Tamandua tetradactyla: one gene and its partners. The protein of the gene in region 2 purifies or fractionates together with the protein of the main gene of each other region. This does not show direct contact. Links are inferred from orthologs where the notes say so. Each region holds a gene or a part of one and is shown on either strand. Other genes may lie near its edges.

The links.
Region 1: the proteins of WDR5 (region 2) and HDAC2 purify together in Homo sapiens (affinity purification with mass spectrometry; 7 studies listed by BioGRID and IntAct, with this or other methods). This does not show direct contact. The link is inferred for Tamandua tetradactyla from reciprocal best matches to the Homo sapiens genes WDR5 and HDAC2.
Region 3: the proteins of WDR5 (region 2) and HDAC1 purify together in Homo sapiens (affinity purification with mass spectrometry; 8 studies listed by BioGRID and IntAct, counting the BioPlex papers as one, with this or other methods). This does not show direct contact. The link is inferred for Tamandua tetradactyla from reciprocal best matches to the Homo sapiens genes WDR5 and HDAC1.

The regions. Positions count from the first base shown.
Region 1 is NC_135331.1:172,998,179-173,005,519, forward strand, and holds the start of HDAC2 (histone deacetylase 2), read right to left. Parts: upstream 3,258-7,341; 5' UTR 3,006-3,257; coding exon 2,954-3,005; intron 1-2,953. UniProt on the Homo sapiens protein: Histone deacetylase that catalyzes the deacetylation of lysine residues on the N-terminal part of the core histones (H2A, H2B, H3 and H4).
Region 2 is NC_135328.1:132,474,949-132,483,185, forward strand, and holds the start of WDR5 (WD repeat-containing protein 5), read right to left. Parts: upstream 3,064-8,237; 5' UTR 2,939-3,063; intron 2,381-2,938; exon of another isoform or gene 2,225-2,380; intron 1-2,224.
Region 3 is NC_135328.1:193,616,660-193,624,149, forward strand, and holds the start of HDAC1 (histone deacetylase 1), read right to left. Parts: upstream 3,258-7,490; 5' UTR 3,156-3,257; coding exon 3,107-3,155; intron 1-3,106. UniProt on the Homo sapiens protein: Histone deacetylase that catalyzes the deacetylation of lysine residues on the N-terminal part of the core histones (H2A, H2B, H3 and H4).

The DNA of each region.
Region 1 (7,341 bases), on a different chromosome or scaffold from region 2:
AATCAAATAGGGATACTAATCTATTTTCATTTGTAAAACAGACATGTCACTCATCCTACCTTTATGTGACTCAGAATGGTTGTAACAATTACAATGGTATATGAAAGCGCTTAATCTGTAAAAATATAAAGTGTTAATCAGTTATTCACCAAAATTAAAAAATTAAGCTTTCTGATTTAGATGGTGGGGATACAGAGACTTAAAAACACATGGGGAGAGAAACAAGTCGGGTGGTAAATGTTATAGGAAGAAAAATAAAGCAGTAATGCTAATTGAGTTTTACCTAGGGTAACTGGAGAAAGCCTCTCTGATAAGGTGAAATACGAAGGAACTAAGAGCAAAGTGGTCAGTGTTTTTCTTTGGTACTGTTTTCCAAACATTTTGATTATGCACTCCTGTCAGATGGAGTAGGCTGGTGGGGGAAATCGGGCAGAGCAATGTGTAAAATTACATAAATTATGTATATATGCAACCCTATTATATATATATCATAGAAGAGACGTTAAATATGCTTGGTCTCAAGCTTAATTCAAAACCAAGTATAGTCAATATTTCTAGATGAAGTATTAAAAGTGTATTGTAATTAAAGCAAACATAGCTTGATTTGCTAACAACATTTTTAACTATAAAAACCACATAATTTTAGGGAGGAATGAGTAATTAGCTATATCATTTTAAAGATTATTGATCTTAGAGTATGTAAGAAAAATAACGAAGACTTTAGAAATAGTTTTCAGAAACTTTGAAAGTATGTGTCAATAGATACAATAAAAGAAGTAAGATCTCTTACTTTTCTTCAAATGTTTAAAGATACTTCATCAATACCTAATGATTCGCTTGGAACTGGCATTCTAGTATTCTAAAGAGCATTCTACTGAAGAGCGCAAATATAGTGAGAAATGCATATAATTTTAGAGGCATCAGTCACACTGAGATGCAAACAACTGCAAAGGTAATTTCTTTGTCACTAAGAGCTTCATCATACAGCCTGCCCCATGTCCCCAGTAAGCCTAAATGTATGGTTACAGAATTTGCTAGTTCTCTCTTTCCCACTTTATTTTTCTTCCTTCCTTCTACTTCCTTTACCAACAAATTAGAACCAGAAAATTTAGACTTGGAGATTTCTTCAGGCCCTATTAGTACTGATACTACTTGACCCCCAATCCAATACATGCTGTATACCTCCAGTCATATAATTCTTTGGTACAGAAACTTTTATTTAATCCTCTTCCTCCACATTAAAAAAAAAAAAAAAAAAAAAGAACTGCTATTTGCTACCCTTATAAGAGTTATTTTGGGGGGTAATGAAGATGTAAGTTTTTGGAATTAAGGTGCAGACCTCAGCATACTATCACATATTCACAGTTTCACAGTTACATAATGGTATTTATCCAACTTTTAAACACCTCTACAAAATATTGTATTAGGCACATACACATAAACTCTAGAGGGAGGTGACCCCTCCATGAATATTTCAAATGTAAGCAATAAATAATTCCATTCTAAAGATGAAGAGTCAACTAAGAACCACAGACAAAAGACAAGTAACCCAACAGAATTCCAAATTATATAAGTTAAATTCGTGATTGTTGGCTGTCTGGTAAAGAAGTTTGAATGGTCTACAATAAAGTATTGATTAATTCACTAAATACCACAGGACTCTCAAATAGTCTCATTTTACCTATCAAGTCTGCATTCTGCCCCTGGGACCAGTGCCTGCCCCATTTCTTCAACAAAGGTTCATCATGGATGAGCCCAGGAACAAACAGCTGTTACAGACTCCTAGTTCCTATGTTAATTTTTGCAATGCCTTCACTCAAGAGCAACCTACTAGAAACTACTCCATTTAATATAATTTAGACCAGCACAGGAAATAGGATTCAAATTTAATGTTCGAACTTCAATTTAAGAACCCCTGAAATTATCTTTTACAATTCACTGTACTGTGAGGTTGCTCGTTCACCTGATGAGGATATTTGGTACTTCCGCACTGCTCCTCAAACTTTTCCTGCACCAGGAGTCCCACCTAGGAACGGGCTTCACAAGCAAGATGCAATGCTCTCCTATACCTCCAAAGGAAGGTCTATTTCCTGACCGAACAAAGAGCAACGAAGAAGTGGGTGGTAACCACCACCTCAGAGGCAAGTCAGGACCCATCGAATCTGATGCACCATACAAGCAACAACAGCTTCACATTTCTCTACAACCTCCTCTTATTTCTCGGGAAGACTAACTGCCTCGAACTCGAAAACCTTAATGTTTATCGAGCAAGTGCAGCTCTTTCATTCGTATCCTTAGAAAGTGGCGCCCAAACAACCCGTTAACAAAGAAGAGGGAAGGAGTCCACGCCGAACAAGGGTGGGAGAGTGCCACAGGCCGGACTTGGGCCCACAACCTCAGTAACTACTCTCAAGCCCCGACCCGGGTCGACAGGTCTCGGGAGTGGCCGGAGACGGAGAAACGAGACCCTCGGGCCAGACGTCGGCAGAGACCGAGAACAAGGAGGGAAGAGACGGCGGGACTGGGGGAGGGAAGGGGGCTGGGGGTGGAGCTCCCGCGGCCGCGGGGCTTTGTGTGGAGTCAGGGCCGGGGTGAGATTCTGACCCCGGGGAAGGGGTCGGGTGCAGAGGCCAGCGCAGGGCAACCTCAAACCCCCAGTCCCACGAGGACAGCCGACCCCTCGCCACCATCGACGAGCCGGGGTAGGCCGCGCCGCCCCAGGGGTTGGCCCCTCGGGGCGGCGGGCCGCACAGCCAGAGAAAGGGGGCAAGAGGGAAGCGGGGCGTCGACCCGCTCTCGCCAACGGTGCCGGGTCCGGAAAGGGTTAAAATGCGGCCAAGCGTCGGTTCCTCCTCCTTCCCACTCCCCAACACCAGCGCCCACTCGCGACGGTGGCCACCGACCCACGACCTCATCCGTGCCCGCCTACCCTCCCGCCGGCCCGACCTCTCACCATCGTAGTAGTAGCAGACTTTCTTCTTGCCGCCTCCCTGACTGTACGCCATGGGCTCCCCGGCCACCTCCGGGCTCCGGCTCCTCCTCCGGCTGCTGCTGCTGCTGCTGCTGCCGCCGCGGGCCGGCAGGGAGAGAGAAGGGCTGGGTTGAAGGCGGGGGTGGCAGTCCGGTGGGGAAGGGCAGGCCGAAGGGAGGAAAGAGGGGATGCCGGGAGGGGTCGGTACAGCCCCGCCAAGGGGCCGAGAGCGCGGAGCGGGGGTCCGCTGCAGCACCAACTCGCGACACTGGGGAGGGGGAGGGGGCGACCAAACCACCTACGGAGGCCTTGGGGAGGTGGGACGTGCCCACGATGGCCACCGCGGGGGGGGGAAGGGGCATGCCTACAGGAAAAGGCCGCTTCAGACTTAGGATAAAACTCCTTCTGATATTGAACAGCTTGCGGAAGGCGGCTCCAAGTACAGGCTCAAAACTAGAAAAAAGAGGCAAATTTTCCCTCTGCAAATAGGTAAAGGCAGGATCCTGGTGACAATCCCCCCCTCAGATCTTTGCACAGTGGTTGTGCCTGTCCCGAGCCTGCGCAGTCGATACCTTCCCAACCGTAGTCTTGGCGGTCTAGACCCGGTCCGCGTCGTCCCGCGCCGCTCCCCTCCCCCTCAGTCGCGAAGCTCCCGCGCGATTCGACCACGTGCCGCGAGCCGGAAGGGAGCGACCACCTTCGTGAGCTTTGGCTCCCATCCCCGCCCCCCACCGCCCCAGTACCTGCTCGTCTCGGTCTTCTCATTTATCCTTCCGTTTTTTGGTGACAATTTCAATGAAGTATTGAACTGCCCAGGGGGAACTATTACAAACGTTCAGGGGAAGACTACACTGCCTGGGGTTGAATAAGCATTTATAGGAGACATTTATGAATGAGTCATGGTTCTAAGCGTTTACATTTATAATATATTTCATTTACATCTATTAATAATAGATGCCTATTATCACATTTAAGATTCCCAGCAACGCTGGAGGTAAGTCCTTCTTCTTAGATGTGAGCAGATTAAGGAACTTGGTCCTCTCAAGTCCTAACTGATCGTCTGGAGATTTGAACTCAGTCTTTCTCCAAATTCTAGATGCCCCTGCCTAATTAGATTGCTTCTGCTGCTGGCTGGTCACTGGAAGATTGGAACAGAGAGTAAAAGAAGGGACTTTCAGAACTCCAGGAAGTGATAAATACCTGTGTCCCCGTGTTCATTGAATCAACACACACTTATCCAGCACCTATTCTAAGTGAGTTGCATTACATACAAATGGGGGGGGACAGGAGGGAAGATTGACCAGTCTTTCAGTGTAACGCTTATCTTAACGATATCATTGGCAATTTCCCCCACAGCGTACAGTCCCTTCCACACCCCCATCAAAAAGGAAGCCTTAACTGAAGTGGGGACCAGTTGGAGCCACTAGGAAAAACTTGACTTTTATTTTGCTTAGACTTTAAATTCCCAAGGTGTTCATACTTAAAGCAGCAATTTTCCTGGGCCTCACCTCCCACCCCCACCCCCAAGTGATTTAAAAAAGTCACTCCCTTTCTTGTATTTTTATCAAGCACCCCAGGTAACTAATGCAATTAATACAGAAACCACAGTGTGTGTAGCATTGGTTTAGAGGTAAAGTTAATTACATGATATTGGCTTCTAGGTTTTGCTCCATCAAATCCAAAATCAACTGGTGGATTCTGAGACCGGAATAGGTTAATTTAATAGATGTTAATGTTACTCCCCAGAGCCAAGCTAGTAAGGTCTAGAAATGAGACTTTACTTTCTTCAAGACTTCCCTGAGTTCCTTCTGGTCTTTTCTCTGTGCCCTTCACATACTCCTCTTGCACCCTATAGCCCCTCCAGCTCCCTGGCAGTATCCATGTTGCCTACAACTTGTCTGAATGTCCCATTAGAATAGAGCTCTATGTAGAGGGGGACCATGTCTACCTTGTCATAATTGTACCTCTAGTGCCTGTGTGACTTTGTGACTTGAATTGCTGAATTGCTTTATCTGTAAAATGGCATAGTATTACTTGCAGAGTGATTCCTAATACGAATAAATACTGAGAGGGTCAGAAAAGAAAATTACTATGGAAACTTTTTAAACAGTGAGGAACTATGTGGATACAAGGGATTACTATGATTACTACTGTTGTTGTTATTGTTTTCATCCAAAAAGCCTAGCCTTGACATTGTGAGAAGAGTCTGAACATGTGTTTTGATTGCTTGAGGAACTTGCTTTGTTATTTATTATATAATAGTTTTAGAACAGTAGAAGTAAATGATTTTGCCCTAAGATAGCAGCATTAGAAGAGTTGGATCTAGTGTTAAGAGCTGGCCATGAAAATTATGTCCCTGCACATCTAGAACAAACTTTAGGTCATTAAATCTAATCAGTTATTGAAACCCACTGATAAGCTCCAAACTTCATTCACCATATCCAAACTCATCTCTCTCAAAACCTTTTTATGAGTATTTAATTATCATCCTTATCCTTAAACTATATATATATATATATTTTAGTTCTTGCTGTAATTGAAGTTTTCAATCCTGAAGATGTTTAGTGCTTTGGAATTATTCAATAAAATGAACTGTTAAACATAAGTGGATGATTTAGAAATAGGACTGTTTGGAAATCGATTGCTTTAGCTTATGGTAAAAGTTGAACCCTACTACCAACGGCAGCAGATAGTTTAATTTTAGTTGCTATAAAATTATTCATATAAACTTGTTACTATCGTAAAGAAATGCATATTTCTTTGTGTTAAGTTCTGTGTTGCAATTTATAAAGTACTAGAAAAGGTAGAGGAGTATGGTACAGCTTCAGGCTGAATTCTGCTCTCCTTGGAAGCATAGTGCCTATTTTTATGTAGTACTGTAAGATGTAACTCATAAATCTGAAACAGCACCAAACAATGAAAACTTAAAGTGCTATGTGACCTGTTCGTTTATTTAACAACATTAAAAATGACCTATTAATAGAAAATATATTTTTGAACTACAAGTTATCTACTAAATTACTTAGGCCTATTAAATCTTTCAAATCATTCTATAGTTCATTGTTGATGAGTGGTTTGCCCATGATCTTCTAAACAGTATCCACCTATTGCACACTTTATTTAAATAAAATTCTACATGCACACTACGTTTGGTAGAATCTACTTGTTAGTGTCTCTGAATCACTCTATGTGTACATATCTTAGTTATTCCTCTTTGTTATCCCAGACTTAACGTTCTTTCGATCTGGTCCTCATTCTATTCCACCTATCACTAGAACTCTACAGATGAGTCTTTAAATGGGAAGCTTTGCTAAAGTCTGGCAAATTGGGGCTATAACCTGCTGCCCCCCATTTATTTCTCTGGCATCCCTTGCTGTCTCTGACTGCTCATTTTCTTTTCCTTCCTTAAATATTGCTCTCCAGAGTCCCGGACCCTCTTTTCCCACTGGAGCTTACTCTTTTGGTGCTGTCTAACCCACTCAGTGACTGTTCGCTGTTGACTGTGAGTCATAATTTCCAGCCTATACCTCTCTCTTATGCTTAGCTCACTGCATGTCTGAAGGTGGATGACTTGTGGTCATCCCAAAGTCAACGTGACCAAAACACAAAGCCATTATCTTCTGTCAGATCTCTTCTTCTTGGATTCGTTTTTCCGTTAATGGTAAAACCAAACATCCAAATGCCTGAAATACCTTCCTCATGATCTCTCATTCCCACGCTAATCCATCTAGCCCAGTCTAAATAGTTACCAAATCCTGTTCTTTCTCCTGAATCTGTCTTTGAGTTGCCTCTTCTTCATGTTTAGCAAGGTCTTTGTTCAAGCCCTCAGTATCTCCTTCTAAATAATTTCAGTAACTTTGTATTTGATCTCTGATTCATCTTTCCCACTTTCATGTAAATAACTTTCTGCGTCTAATCAATACTCCTGTATTTAAGGAAATCTTTCCAAGTGCATGTTTAACACCTGTAACCATACACTAGAAACTCCAGACACATCAACTGTGCCAGTTTGAGTCTGTTGTGTAGCCCAGAAAAGCATATCTTTTAATCCTCATTCATTATGGCTGGGTGGAGTCTTTTTGATTGTTTCCATGGAGGTATGACACATCCAATTGTGGTTGATAACTTTTGATTAGATGGTTTCCATGGATATGTGTCTCCACTGATTCAAAATGGGGTTGCTTACTGGAGCCCTTTAAGAAGGAACCATTTTGGAAAAAGCTTTAGAGATATAGAACCAACAGAGCCCACACAGCCAGAGACATTTGGAGATGAAGAAAGAAAATGCCCCCGGAAAAGCCTGGAGAGAAAACTAGCAGACATTGCCATCTGCCTTTCCAGTTGAGAGAGAAACCTCAAATATCATCAGC
Region 2 (8,237 bases):
TATTACCCTAAGTTCATGCTCACTTTTCAGACACTATGCCAAAATATCCCTGCTCTCACACTTTCTCAAGGACCCTACACTTCAAGGGTGCTTCCTATTTTGTGTCCCATGGTCCATAGGAATATAGCACAATTCACACAAAACACAATTTTGAAAACTTCAACGAGCCCAAAGGTTTCTTGATAGAAAACTAATATGCCAAATTAGAAGAGACTAAGATTCAGGTGCAGAAGTCTGGGAGCTCATCCAAATTGTAAAATGCATCCTAAGTGATATGATACTGTTAATGACCACGTTTGAAAACAGAACACATGCCCAGGGGTTCTAGGTCTAACGGGTGGGCTTTGTTATTGCAAGGTACTAGTAGTAGATGCAACGCTGATTTCCAAAATGCTAACAACTTAAAAGGCTCTCTCTCCCTGGTGAAACAGCTACAAAACACAGCAGCAAAAAAACAAACCAGAGTCAGCTGTGTCTGCTACAGGTTCCACCTACTGCCTTCTGTAGAAAAAGTACAGCACTGATGCTCTGCAAGCAAGACTCAAACTGCAGGAAAACAGGAAAAAAGACTGCCACTCAATTAGGTTTCACTTGACAACAGGAATATCTACAACCCGTACAGTACGTGATCAGTTTCTTCTATCACTGGAATAGATTCCATTCTTTGGATACATTTCCTAAAAGCACACCAGGTGATTCTGAAATGAGGGAAAGCACTATTAAAAAGAAGAGCTGCCAAGCCATTCTGCGACCATCATTGGCCATCCAAAGTCCAGAAGGTAGCACTACACCTAACCTAATGAGTTTACACACCGTAGATTCTAGCTTAAAGCTTAAGTCCGAAGCCCTGCACAACCTCCCTGTAACACTAAGGTGAAACGGGAACTATCAGAAAAACCCATGCCTCTGTCTTCATCCAACAGAATAGAAGAAAAATCACAATGTAACAGCCACTGGGCAGAATACACATGCAGCAAAGCTCTGTTTACCTGCATTAAAGATTTCCTGTCCTAGTACAGCCCTCAAAGACTGAGTCTGAGTGGGAGAGAAGGATAGGTCTCACAAAACCCACCAAAGGCAAAGCGCTGGCACAAAATTGATGCTAAGTACATGCTAGGTACTTGATTATCCTTAGTGCAACCTGGCTGGTTGCCAGTTTACCTCAACTGCTGCCCTCTCCTCTGTGGGATGGATAAGCAGCGAAGAGTGGCACTAAGGAAACCTCCTCTTAGGAACAAAGCTGGAAAGTCTGATAAGGAAACTGAGATTACAGCAGAAAACTAAGAGAGCATGGCAGATGCCTGCCAGCCAGCCCACCCAAGCAAAACACCAGTGAGAACAGAGACTTGAGGTGAGAGGGGCGAGGGCTTGGTCTGCCCACACAGGTGAAAAGGGCAGCTGGAGTGGGGGGGAGTGGCAGAGCAGCTCCTTTTAACATAAAGCCAGCCCCACCTGGAGGTGGGACATGGCTTCTGCCAACATGAGGGGAGGAGCAAGCCCAGGGAATGAAATAGGCAGTCTTACAGCAGAAGCGTTCAGCTCTCGGGTCTCTCACACATCAATGTGCAAAAAGGTCAACTGGAAAGCTGGACTTTGAAGAACACAGATTTCTTGATCCAATACCCCAAGATTCTACTTCACAGTTAGGATCCAGGGCTCTGCACTTTCCGTGAACACTCAGGTAATCCCATGGAATACCTTTTGAAAAACAACCATTTGGGGGGGGGGGAGCTGGACAGGGACTTGGTCTTTGAAAACGAGGGGTACACACAAGGTGAGCACCATCTGAGTGAAGGGAAGGGGATCGGGACTTGGCCTCCAGAGCAGAGGCAAGCGCGCATCCAGGTGAGCCTGACCTCCTAGCGCATCCAGGTGAGCCTGACCTCCTAAGGCAGCGTGCGCACCTGGGCTGCTCGTTAAAGGCAGATTCCCAGGCTCCACCCTGGAATGAGGCCTCCGAGACGGAGAGGAGGTCGCCTGCACTTTGCAGGAGGCCTCCAGGTGACCCGCAGGTGGCCATCCAGCAGTGAGTTAGGGGACTCTGCCCCCCAGCCCTCTGGGCTCTTGAACACCCCCTTCAGTACTTGGCCCTTCCACCCGCCTTCCCAATGGGGCCGGGCTAGCCTCGGGTGCAGAGTCTGGCCCAGCGCCTGTCCGAGCCAAAGCTTCAGGAAAACGCTCGCTGCAGAGGGCCGGTAAATGGTGCCGGGTGGGCAAAACTCACACAAGAAAGCTGTTAATGCGTGTCTTTCACCCACGAAACACGGGGCCGGAGGCGCCACCGCGGGAGGGCCGGTGGTTTCTCCCCGATGGCAGAAAGCCCACCCGGTGGAGCCCGCCCCAGGACTCGCAGCCCTTACGGCCGACGGCCAGGATCAGGGACCGTGGGCAAGCCCGCAGAGCGCTCAGCCCCGTCCGGGGTCTTCCCCTGGCGCAGGACTGGAGGAAAGGGGGGCCCTGAGACGCAGTGCCCGCTGGCTGCAGGGGAAAAAGAAGCCGCGACCCTCGGGCTCCGTCTCGTCACTGGACGGCTGGGGAGGGCGGGAAGGGCCCGTGGGGCCCACGATCCGTCAGGGGTCGCCGAGGAGAGCATCCGGGAACCCAGGGGGGTCTAAGGGGTACACCGGGGAGAAGAGAGGCGAGGGGGAGGGCGCTCCACGGGCCGGGCTGCGGCGTTCGGCCCGGGGGAAGCGGGTCCTGGGACGGGAGCAGGGCGGTGAGAGGCCGGCGGCCCTCGCGAGGAGCTCTCCACAGCGAGGACGGGGCCCGCCGCGGAGGCAGTTGGGGGCCCCTCGGGCGGCGTGGGGCGCGCTGGCCCGGGGTCCCGGGAGGGCCGGGGAACACGTGCGGCGGCGGGGGACGGTTTGGAGTACACCGGCATCGCGCCCGCTTCGCCCCAGGCTTCGCGCCCACCGCGCGGAGACGGCCGCCCGCTTACCTGCCGGGCCGCGGCGGCGGCGGGGCCGGAGCGCTCGGGACGCCTCGTCGGCAGCCGCCTGGTCTGAAGCACGGGCCGAGCTCGGCTAGGCGGCAGCTCCGGCGGGCGCCAGACGCCGACGGAGGGGTGCGCCCGACAGTGCGCAGGCGCGAAGGGAGGGGGCGGGGTCCTGGGGGCGGGGTAGACCCACAAAATCAGCCTCTCGGAGGAGCGCTACGGCGAGCGGCAAGGGGCAGAATGCCTCGATCAAGCCTAACGCCTTAAAGGGATAGTGTGTGCGCAGGCTTCCCGCGGTGGACCCACGCGTTGTCGGATGTAGGCCCTTCTTTTCCTGCACTTTTTGAAAATGGAAGCACAATAAACGTACAGGAATAAGCTAGTGTGCCCTCAAACTCTCACACCCCGCAGCCGGCTCCCGTGGAGGATCCAGCCCTCCTCCCGCGGTCTGAGTTGGCGGCGTGGCCCCCACGATTCTTCTCCGAGTCGGAGCCGCCTGGAGAAGCAGCTGCCTTCTCCACGAGCGCTCCTATCGGCGGGGGCCACAGGTAACGCTTCGAGGGCAGCCCTGGGCAAAGTGCGGGAGGGCGGGCAGGTGGTCAGACCTTCCCGGCTTAAAGAGGAGAAAGAAGCCCGAGCTGCAGAAAGGTCCTGACAGCCGTCTCGGGAGAGCCCGGCCCGGGCCTGGCCCGTGAGGCCGCGAGCCCTGCCTGCCCTGCCTGCCCGGAGCCCCTGCCCAGGGCTGCGACTTGCTGGGACCGTTCCCCGGAGCCCCTGGGAGGCGAGAAGCTATGCTGAGGATTCTTGCGTGCCTGCTGCTCTGCAGGCTGCGAGGCGCTTTCCCTCCAGCAGGCATTGTCACCTCCGTGGACCACGGCAGGGTAGGGCCGGAGCTTGGTTTTGTCCCCTGCACGTTCTCGCCCAGCTGCCTGCTTCTCCCACACACGGGTCTAAGGATCTTGGAGGGGTGTGTGGCCTCCACAGCTTCGTGGGCCCAACCCGGCCTGTAGGCAGAATAATGTAGTCCCTTATTTTCCAAATCGGAAATGGACACCCAGATAGGATACGGGAACGTGTACTGGTAAAGAGACCCAGCATTGGAAGGGAAACACCCTGGGAACAGGAGGTGTGTGGTTGTCATGGATACAGAGCCAGAAGAGTGGCAGCTGATGTGAAGCCCTTCCCAGAGGGGACACAGGGTGGGCAAGGTCCCTGCCTGGCTGGCCCCAGCCTGGCTCCCCACGGAGCTCTTTGCCCAGCCAACCTCACCACCTTGGGGCCAGGTGCCCTGGAGCAAAAGGTAAACACAGCTAGCTTAGGAGTGAAGGAGGGCAGCTCTTCACAGGTTCCCCTTTACCCTCACACAGTCCTCTATCCTTTCACTTCTCTCCATCCCCACCTTGGTCACCCAGCAGTCGCTGAAGAGCAGAAAGGGGAGTTTGTCAAAATCCAATTCTGATTTGTCATTCCCTAGTTTAAGACCCAGAAATGGTTTCCCATTGCCTTCAGGTCAAAATCCAAACTCCTTTGACAAACTCGCTTGCCTCCCCCTCCAGTCCAGGACTCACCCCAAACGGCTAACTTGTGCGCCCAACTTCCACTACCAGATAAATGGGTCTTGCCTCCTTCCAGTGAAAATGAGAAAATCCGTTCATACTGTCAATTGTTTTGTAATCCGTGCCTCCAGTCATAGCTAAATTCCTGAAAGCAAATAGCACAGTGGGTAGAGCAGCTGAACAATACAACCATCTGCTTTATTATCTATGTTGTAAATCCTTTTATATCCCTTTCCAAAAGTTGTCAGGCTCAGAAAAACCACAAGTGGAAACAGAAGAGAGGAAAAGAACTAAAGCAAGAAAAAACACTTCAGCCTTTGGGGTTTATGTTTTTGTTTTGTTTTCAGAACATTAACTGCGCTTGGGCCAGTGGAGATGAATCGGTAAATGAAACTGTATCCATGAACAATTTTTATAAATATATATTCTAAAAAGTTGCTTCCCACCCCCACTCAAGGCTGTCCATCAGCACAGCAAGGCCACAAGCCTGCCTGGCACCGTCCTATCTCACATAAGTCCTTCCACCAGCCAGTGTCCACTGGTGCTTCAGGGGCTTCCTCTCATCCCCCCACCCCCACCCCACCCAGTGGTACTTCCACCGCTCCCAGATCCTCCCCAATGGAAAACAGTCCTTTTCATTGTAGTTGAAGCTCATTGTGTCCTGGCCTGGCTGAGCTGGGTGGGGACGAAGCAGGAGGAGAAAGAGGAGTGATATCTAGCATACATTTGAGAACCTGCATGCCCAATTCTACATTGTTTGTTACATATATTTTCTCTTGTGCCTTCAAAACAACCCTTGACTGTGCGTGCCTTCATTATCCTCCTTTCACATTGTGAAAACTAAGGCCCCAAGAGATTGAGAGGCTGCCCAAGACTCCCCTGTGAAGGTTCCCACAACAGCCAAAGAACTGGCTGAAGGCAGAACCTACATTCCTAACCCCCAATTGCACAGTACACACTCAGTGATGCTGATGGGAAGATGGATGGATGGATAGGCTGATGAATGAGTAGGTGAGTAGGTGGGTGGACGGTTGAGTGGATAAGTGGATGGATGGGTAGTGGATAGGTTGTTGGATAAATGGATGAGTGGGTGAATGGATGAATAGGGGAATGGAAGGGTGGGTGCATGTATGGATGGGGTAGGTGGACGGATGAGTGGGTGGGTGATGGGTGGATAGATGGATGGATAAAAAGTAGGTGTTATAGGTCTTCAAAGAAGAAAGTAACGCATGTGGACTGGAGCAGACAGGAAAGGTCCTATGGAGTCTGCTGATCTGAAAAGCAAAATGTCACATTTCTGTAGGGCCGAAGCCCTTGAAAAGCTCTATTTTGTAACTTAGCAATAAGTATTTCGTAAGGAAAAGTGGACTGCCATACTAGAGGTTGGCTTTGCTGGGAGGTGGCATTAGAACAGCTCTGCTCCTTTGCCGTGCCCTAGGAATGCTGTGAGGCTCCCTGCACACGGCTGCAGGTGGCAGGAGAGCACTGACCCTTTAATGGCCAAGCCCAGAGCCTTGGGGGGGGGGGGGGAGGCGGGGGTTAGCAAATTCCAATGACAATTGAGGGAGGGTCAAGGAAGCCGATGCACATGGGGATGCCCTGAATTCGGGGTTTCCAGGAAGCACTCACTGGATTTCACAGGCAGGGTAGCCCACACCTTTGGGCTACCATTCCAGGTTGCTGCTGATGTTATCCAGAGACCCCAGTGTTCCCCTATAGCCCAGGTCAGTGGGGTTTTGTGTAAATTCTTTTCTCCTGAAAAGCAGGCCAGGGCAGCCAGTTTGGAAGACTTATGCCACCATCTCCCCTTCCTTGGGCTCTTCTCTTTCTTCCCCAACATCTTCCCCAGTGGTCCATCAGGACACACTTTGTGTCCTGCTGTCACCTGGAAGACCCAAGGGCCTTCAGCGGACAGCTTCGTCCTGAGTCACATTGGTCTCTGAAATCGCTGGTACCCAGCCATGTCCAGTCCTACTTATGCCACCATCCTTGTTCTCCTTTGGCCTCAGTTTCCCAGTTACAGAAAAAGCCCCACACCCCATGTCATTGTGGCACCCTTCTGCTGCCTTGCCCTTCCTGGCAGCTATCGAGCACACCCCACCCACCCCCAGCCTCATCCCCTACATCGTATATCCTTCTTGGCACCCTCGTTTGCCCAGCACTGTCCTGGTTTTATCACGGAAAGTCTCCATTCCTGACAGACAACCCCTCAGCCCAGGTAAACCAGCATGGTTGAGCATCGTCCCCCACTGGATTCCTTCTCTTACTGGTCCTACTTGTGGGCTGTCCCCTCCTCAAGGACCTCCAAGCTCAGCCCTCCCTCTCTTCCCTCTGCACCTTGTTCACCAGGGCCCCCTCACCTGTCCACTTCCCCGCTACCGGAGGGCTCACGAGAGCAGAGACAGCCTGTTCACCCTGGTGCAGAGGGTGCCCAATACGTGCTTAATAAAGACCAGTCGAATGAATGAAGCATCGAATGTTTGCTTTCTCTTCCTGTTTGTTTTAAATCTATCCTCAGCTTGCTGCAAAGTCATGACAACTAAATCCATCTGCCCTCACCCTGCACCCCATCCCAGGCCCAGGCGCCTCCCTGGGATGGGCTCCCCTCTGCCTCCAGGGGGTGCTGGGAGCTCAGCCACCCACCAACGGGAACCGCCAGGCTGGCCCGGGCCCCTGGACATCCAGCGGCTGTGGAAGCCCGGCCTCAACTGGAGCCAGGCTGGGCGGGCCTCCCAGCAAGAATTCCAGGAATGCAGATTCCCCCATGGGAAGCCAGGCTGCACCTGGTGTTGTCTGCAAATCCTGTCCCTGCCCCGGGACTTGGGTGTAATCCCCCTGGAAGGAGAGAGGTCCAGACAAGTTAAGAAAGAAACAGCACCTAGGCCAGGCCAGATTGAAATCAGAGGCCTAAAAAGCCGATGGAAACTTTCAACGGCTTTACTGTGGTTTAATTTGGGGTAGCCAACAGTGGTTTACAGGGTCATTTTTTTTCAAGGAATATAAATGTGACTGCTTCCATCTTCTCCCCACAATACCACTCTATTTCCATCTATCCACGTTATTAGGAAGCACTTACTGTGTGCCCTTTGCTTGTCTCATGAAACCCCAAACATGGTTGTAAACTATTCTGATATTTACAGAAGAAGAAAATGGGCTCAGAGAGCCTCAGTGATTTGCCCAAGGTCACACAGCAAGTAAATGACAGACCAGGAGCTTAACTGATTCTTTGGGCCTCCAGCGTCCAGGCATACCCTGTGGACCACACTGTTTCTTATCCATCTGCAGATATCACTTCCACCCAATTGTGATCACAGTAGCTCTGCCTTCTGCCTTCCAAGCTCACATTTACCACCAGCATCCTCCCAGCTCACCACCCAGGGTCACTTTCCCTCCTCTCTTCGTGGCTATGTGTTACTCCTCACCTGGACATTGAAGTTGTCTCCAGGATTTCACAATAAATGGTTTCTTTAGGATAAAATCCAGGAGTGGGGAACATGCCAGCATGAACCGCCCCACCCCCCACCCCCAGGCAGTAAAGAGGAGCCCAGGAGGCCGAGGCATGAGCAGGCAACCCAGCAGACCCTGGACAAAGCTTTTCTGGGTTTCCCACAGTATCGCTGATAATTCCCTAAAGGGGAAGCAACCGGTCAAAAATAGAAAAGCTGACACAGAGGAAATGCGCAGGGGCCAAAGTCCCAGGGCTTCAAACAGGCGGCTCTGCTACCAGCTGCAGGCATGCTCCCTCC
Region 3 (7,490 bases), about 61 Mb from region 2:
TTCAATTTGTATATAGCACTTAATTTCATTTAGTATCTGAGTTATTTACATCTATCTATATTCACAAGACTGGTGCTACTTGAAGGCAATGACAAATATGCCCTGTACATCACAGAGGCTCACAAAGATTCAGTGAATTGAACTAAGATTCAAAGGAAGTACGTGCCTGCCCCAAATCACATAGCTAACAAGTGATTTGGGAGTCAACTCTTTTTTTTGCATGGGTAGGTACCCGGAATCGAACCCCGGTCTCCAACATGGCAGGTGAGAACTCTGCCTGCTGAGCCACTGTCCTACACTGCCCCTAACAGCTTTTAAATAGGTTGCTGAGAGACTTTATGGAAAAGAATAGGGGAAATAATACTTTTTATTTAGATATTACTTTAAATTTTAAAGGAATGGTCCATCACTATTCTTATAACAGGAACTGCTTTTATTTCTGCATTAAAGGGGAGTGACCTGAGGCCCAGAAAGGTAAACTGACCTGCCCAATACTGCAAAGCTTCTCAGTGGCAGATCCAAATCTGATTCACAATCTAATGACCTCACTGCAAAATTCACAAGCAGTTTCTTAAGAAGTAACGAGTTTGCTTTCTTCTCCAAAGACTCAGCTCTTTCCACTTTCTCTTCTTTTAAATCAAGAGTGTGGTGATCACAAAACCATGCAAACTGAGGTAGCTATCAAGTCATAGGCTCTAGCTTCTAATGGGCCTCACCACTGCCCAACAATTCTTACAATTCCTCTACTCTCTTTCACAACAGCTACTTCAGATCTTCTCTCTCTTCAAGATTCCTACTCTATCATTTGCCCTCCCTCGCTCTCAGGAAAATAAATATTCACTTACTTCATCCAGAGAATTCCCTCAACCTTCCTTATCTTCTCCCCTTCAAACTCACCTATATTTGAACTTTTTCTTGCCACTTATCCTTCTGTCACAAAGGAAATTCCTCTTGAAGGATAGTGCCCCTCCTTGTGCTCTGGTTTCCATCTCACCTGGTCTCCTCAAGAACTTCCATCACCATTAGCCCCATTCTCTCCTGTACCCTCAACCTTTCTCTCTCTCCAGCTCTTTTCCATTAGAATTTGAACATGTGCAACTCTCAGCCACTACATGACCACTTCTATCAACATTCTTCTCTCCCTGCTCCAGACAAGCTTCCCTCAAAAAGGGTTTAATCTGATGTTTCCTCTTCACCCACTTATTCACTTCCCAGTGTACAGCACAGCAACGGTTCTTGCCAATATTTGAACACTCTCTCCCTCCTTGGGCTTTTGTAACCCAAGACTTCTGGTTTGCTAACCTGTCTGGCCACTCCCTCTGTGTCATTATTCATTTATTCAGAGTCTACTGTGAGTTAGGCACTGTTCAGGGGACTGAGGATAAAGAGGTGGATAAGGCATAGTTCCTTTCTTTAAGGAACTTACTGTCTGCAAGAAATAATAACAAGTATACCGACAATTTCAGTACACAGTGTCAAGTGCAATGTCAGGAGAATTCAGAGATGGGGGGTACTAGGTTTCTTTCCCCCAGTCCACTTTTTTTGGCTTTTGTTTTTGTGTTTTATTTTTGTTCCTCAGTCCACTTTTTAAATGTTGCTCCTTTTTAGTATTCCCTTCTGGATCCTCTTTTCTTTTCATCCTACATAACTTCTTGTGACTACATCCATTCTATGACTAAAATCACCAGGTATATGGGATGGCTGCCAAAAATCTCTACCTTCTCATCTCTGTCTTCTAAACTGTAGACCTGGACAAAGGGCTTACTGGGTGTCTCTACGTGGCTATCCACCAGACATCTCAACAGGTATTACATTAAAAAAAAAAAATGAAACAAATTTATCAACTGAGACAGCCTTCACCAAACACCCACTATCAAATTACACAAGCCAGAAACTTAGAATCCTTACCTTCTTTCTTACCCCTACACATTCATGAACTTATTTCCTGCCCCAGAGTGATATCTGTAAGGCATAAACCTGATTATGACAGTAATGTCCTTAAAACTTCAATAGCTCACCAGTGCCTTCAGAATAAAGTTCAACTTCCTTGGAAGGGCACACCTAGATTTTCATTATCTAGTCCCCATTTACTTCTCTAGCCTCATTACCTTCAATCCCTGCTTCTCACCTTCTATACTCTGCCCCCAATTCTATGCCTCAACCATACTGTACACATATTCGCTGTTTTTCAAAGGTGCTGTCCTTGTCTTGCCTCTAAACTTGTTGTTACCTTAGCTTTCCCTGTGCCTGGCTAATAAATTCTCGTTCTTCAGGTCGTAACTGAGGTGATACCTTCCTCCTTGACTCCCCAGGCTGGGTTGGGTGACTCTTCCTGTGCTCCCATAACACTCTGAGCTCTCCTTTATCCCAACACTGAACTTGGGAGTAATTCTCTGTCAATGTCTATCCCCCCTTTTACACCGCGAGCTGAAAATGGGAAGTGTGACTTAGATCATCCCAGCACCTACATGCTACCTAGTACAGAGGAAGCTGCTCGGTAGACTGTTGTTAAATGGATAAGCCTGTTTTAACAGGTTGCATCTTTCTTCCAACCTGAGGGACCCTATTTCCCAGTAGCAACCACAGGCCAGGCTCAGAGATGGGAGGGAGGGAGAATACTAGGTAACCTCTAGCCGGCGATTCCCTCCGGATTCTCACCAAAATCGGTGAGGAAGAAAAGAAACAGTCAAAGACATGTGTAGTCCCAGCAGGGAAATCTATCCTTATTACCTTCTCTATCAGATTTTGCCTCCTCCCTCAGACTCAGCCTCCCCTCCAGGAGCCCTACTCAAACTCTCCACATCGGACTTCTTCAGAAGCCTGCCCCTGAGATTATCTCAGCCTTGACCCCAGACCACCCTCTCCCGGTCTCAGCCTCGACCGCCTTTTCCTCTCAGCTTTGACCTCCTTTCTTCTCTCAGCCTCCTCCCTCAGTCTCGACCTCCCTTTCTCGGCCTCCCCTCTCAGCCTCGACTCTTTTCCTCCCTCCAACGCCTCCGCCAGCCTCAGCCTCTCTCAGCCTCTCCACTCAGATCTCGACCTCAGTCTCCCTCTCCCCGACCCGGCCCAGCCCAGGCTCCGCCCCCGCCGTGAGGACGGTGCTCACCGTCGTAGTAGTAACAGACTTTCCTCCTGGTGCCCTGAGTCTGCGCCATCTTGCTTGCCTCCTGTCCCTCCCGTCAGTCAGTCCGTCCGCCCTCTCGCCCACGGCTCTGCTCAGGGACCGTCCCAGGGGAGAGAGGGCGGGCCTCCAACCCGCTCCGCCCGTCCCCCTCACCTATAGCGGCGCAGCCCGGGCACCACTCCAGCCAATCAGCTCGCACGGGGACGGGCCCGGAACTCGGCAGGGGGTAAGGGCAGCCCGGAGTAGCAGCCGAGGGCCCCCTGGGCCTGTACCAAGGTCCTCAACAGGGGGGTGGGGAGCCTGGGGACTGTACCATTAGTCCCGGGGGAGAAAGACAGGTCGGTAACTTCACAGTGTTATTTTGTTGTTGAAAGTATGCTTGGAGATGAGAAGTCAACTTTGTAATTTACAGATAATAAACTGAGGCCTACAGAGGAAAAGTGACTTGCACAAGGTCACCCAGTTTAATGAAGGGACTGACTAGATTAGAAAATGCATTGAAGGAGGAAGAAATAGACAAGTAAGGGAAAGAAAATTAATGTTTGTGGAGGCCCCCGCTATGGGCCAAGTACTGTGCAATAGCTTTACTGACGTTGACTCAGTTACTCCCCAGAAAAACTCCGGAAGAGGGCTTTTTAATCCCCATTTTACAGTTAGGATTAATGAAAGTCAGACATTTGTGAATTGCTCAGAGTCACACAATTAGTACGTGAATTCAATTTTCAGCTGTATAGGTGTTTTGAACGCCTACTATGTGTCAAAGGCACTGTAACAAAGTGGCAGAAGCCAGTCATTGTGAGTCCAAAGCCTACTTCCCTAAATCAGCCAGGAGGACTAAGGAGTGTCTTTAGACAGGAGGAAGCTGGATTACGTTCTTACACTAGAGCAGAGTTTCTCAATCTAGGAGTTATTGACATTTTGTGCTAGATACTTCCTTGTTGTAGGGGCCAGTCCTGTGCACTCTAGAATGCTTAGCTCCATTCCTAATCTCTACCACTAAATACCAGGAGCAGCTTCCCTGCCCCCTGCCTCTAGCTGTGGCAACCAAAAATGTCTCCTGTATTGCTGAATGTCTCCTTAGGGGAAGCTGATGTTAAAAATCACCCCACTATCCTCTTGAGAACCACTGCAATAGACTAATCCATCATCAATCAGTTATTATTGCAAGCTAAGAGACTGAAAAACACTGTTCTGAGTTATTAAAATAACGACTATGAAAATATTAATATTTAGTGAGTGCTTACCATGTGCCAAGCATTATGCTAACTTACTAGTGGTCCTATAGTCATTAAGATGCATTTTTATGCCTCTTTACATTTAAAGAATGCTCGAGGACATGTGTTCCTCACTTAGGGATTGCATTTGGGCTATTAATTTGAAAGGTAACAGTGGAGATCTAAGACTGGGCCATGGTGTTATAAACATGGGAAAGGCCAAGGAACAAATCCTATTGCAAGTTCTAGGTTGCTAGTTCCTGGCTAGCCTTGAGTGGATACCTTAACCTTTCTGGGCTTCCATTTCCCTCTTCATAAAATAGGGAGGATAAGAATACAAAGTTCACTGACTATGTCCAAACACAGGAGAAGGATGGAGATCAAATGAGATCAGAAGTTGGCGGCACTTTATAAAAATACAGACACAAACTCAGATGTCTAAAGAGGTCATGCAGGTGATGTAAATGAATGGATTTTATTATTTTGACTCAGCAGCTCCTCTTTGCATATTTTGAGAATTGAACTAGTCTTCACTTTCATAAAGAAATATACCTTCCCCCATCTTTCTTCAAACACACTGCTATCTTCAGATATCTTTTCTTTTCTCACTTTTAAATGATATAGACAAAAAATTCATTTTCCTCTTTATTATAGGAACAACAGCTGCTAATACACCATTTTATTGTCTGGGAGCAATAAGGAGTGGAGGAGATTCTGGTAAAAGGGAGCTCTCACATCCTACTTTTTAAAGGGGGAGGCTACTGCTCAGCTCTATGGAGGCAGGTAGGTCCAAAGTGGGCACATCTTCCTATTTTTCAAGAGAACTCAGAAATCTGCAGGTCCACACAAAATCTCTCCAGTTTGACAAATTGGCAACTAGCTCAGTTCATTCTCAATAGAGTAGTAAAAGTCATCCTTTCAAAATGTGAGATCCCATCATGGCTCTGCAGGAAACCCTGCAAAAGCCATAAAAGCCCCAGACCTCATAGGATTATCTTCCTTCTCTGAACATCCTAGGCAAGCTCCTACTTCAGGCTATTCCCTCTGGAAGGTTCCTCTCCCATACCACGTGGCTCACTCCCTCACCTTCAAATCTTTGCTCAAATGTCACCTCCTCAAAGAGGACTTCCCTGACCACCCTCTTTAAAATTTCAAGCCTCCCAACAAACATGGTATTTCTAATCTTCCTTACCCTGCCCTAATTTTCCCCTAGCACACATCACCTTGTAGCACACTATGTAATTTACTTCTTTATGGTCTTTATTGTCTATAATCTGCCTCCCTTTACTAAAATGTAAGCCCCATAAGGGGCAGTTTTTTTGTGTGTTTGAGCTACTGTATATCCTATGAGCCTAGAACAGTGCCTGGTACACAGATGTTCAAAAACTAATTGTTAAATAGGTGAATTAACTCAATTTTTAAAAACATCCTGAAGGTTAATCAATACATATCTGAAGCAGGCATAACTCTTCTATCACTAGCTGTGAAAAATGCTATTGCCCTATCATGGAAGGAGAAGAAAATTCTGTTTTTAAAGCTAATCCATTCCTGTGTGAGGAGGCCCATTGTAAGTATGATCTTTTTGTGAGTAGGATCTTTTTTTTTTCATCACATAGTTGTGTATTCATCACCATGATCATTTTAAGAACATTTGCATCACTCCAGAAAAAAAAATAAAAGACAAAAGAAAAAAACTGTACATCCCATAGTCCTTGCTTTAGTTTGTAAACTGCTGAAATTGCAATATTCCATAACTGGAATGGCTTTATAAAGGGAATTTAATAAGTTACAAGTTTACAGTTCTAAGCCTATAAAAATCTCCAAACTAAGGCATCCAGGGAGAGATACCTTAATTCAAGGAAGGTCAATGTGTCTGGAACACCTCTGTCAGCTGAGAAGTCACATTGCTGTCATCTGCTGGTCCCTTGCTCCTGGGTTCCATTGCTTTCAGCCTCTATCCCTGTCGGAGTTCCTCACTTTGCATCCCTGGGGCAGGCTTTCATCTCTTGGCTTCCCTTGGCTCTCTCCAGGTTCTGGCTTGCTTAGCATCTCATGGCAATGCCTACTGGGTTCCAAGCACCTCCAAACATCCATGTCTCTGTTCTCCGAGTGTTGTCATCTGTGTCAGCTCTGCTCTGAAGTTACTGTTGGCTCTGAGCGCTCTCCAAAATGCTTTCTCTTTTAAAGGATTCCAGTAAACTAATCAACACCTGCCCGCAATTGGGTATGTCACATCTCCGTGGAGGTCATCTAAAAAGTTTTCAACCTACAGTATTGAATCAGTATTAAAAGAAACAGCTGCCTCCACAGGACAGAATCAGGATTAAAACATTCCTCTTCTGGGGTACATAATATTTTCAAACCAGCACAGTCCTCCCTCTCATTAACCACTAGCATTGCAATCTACCCAATTTTTTTTACCCCATGTATTAGTTAGGGTTCTCTAGAGAAACAGAATCAATAGGGAACACTCGCAAATATAAAATTTATAAAAGTGTCTCACGTGACTGCAGGAACACAGAGTCCAAAATCCACAGGGCAGGCTGTGAAGCCAACGATTCCGATGGAGGGTCTGGACGAACTCCATAGGAGAGGCTCACCAGCCGAAACAGGAAGAACCTGTCTCTTCTGAATCCTCCTTAAAAGGCTTCCAGTAATCAGATTAAGCATCACTCATTGCAGAAGACACTCCCCTTTGGCTGATTACAAATGGAATCAGCTGTGGATGTAGCTGACATGATCATGATTTAATTCTATGAAATGTCCTCATCACAACAGACAGGCCAGCACTTGCCCAACCAGACAAACAGGTACCACCACTTGGCCAAGTTGAGACATGAACCTGACCATGACACCTCGTATGACCATTATTTATTTATTTATTTGTCCTTATTTTTTCACTCATCTATCCGTACCCTGGATAAAGGGAGCATCAGCCACGAAGTTTTCACAATCACATGGTCATATTGTAAAAGCCCCGTCGTTATACAATTGTCTTCAAGAATTAAGGCTACTGGAATACAGTTCAACAGTTTCAGGTACTTCCCACTTGCCACTCCAATACACCACAAACTAAAAAGGGATATCTATATATTGCATAAGAATAACATCCAGGATAACCTCTCAACTCTGTTTGAAATCTCTCAGCCACT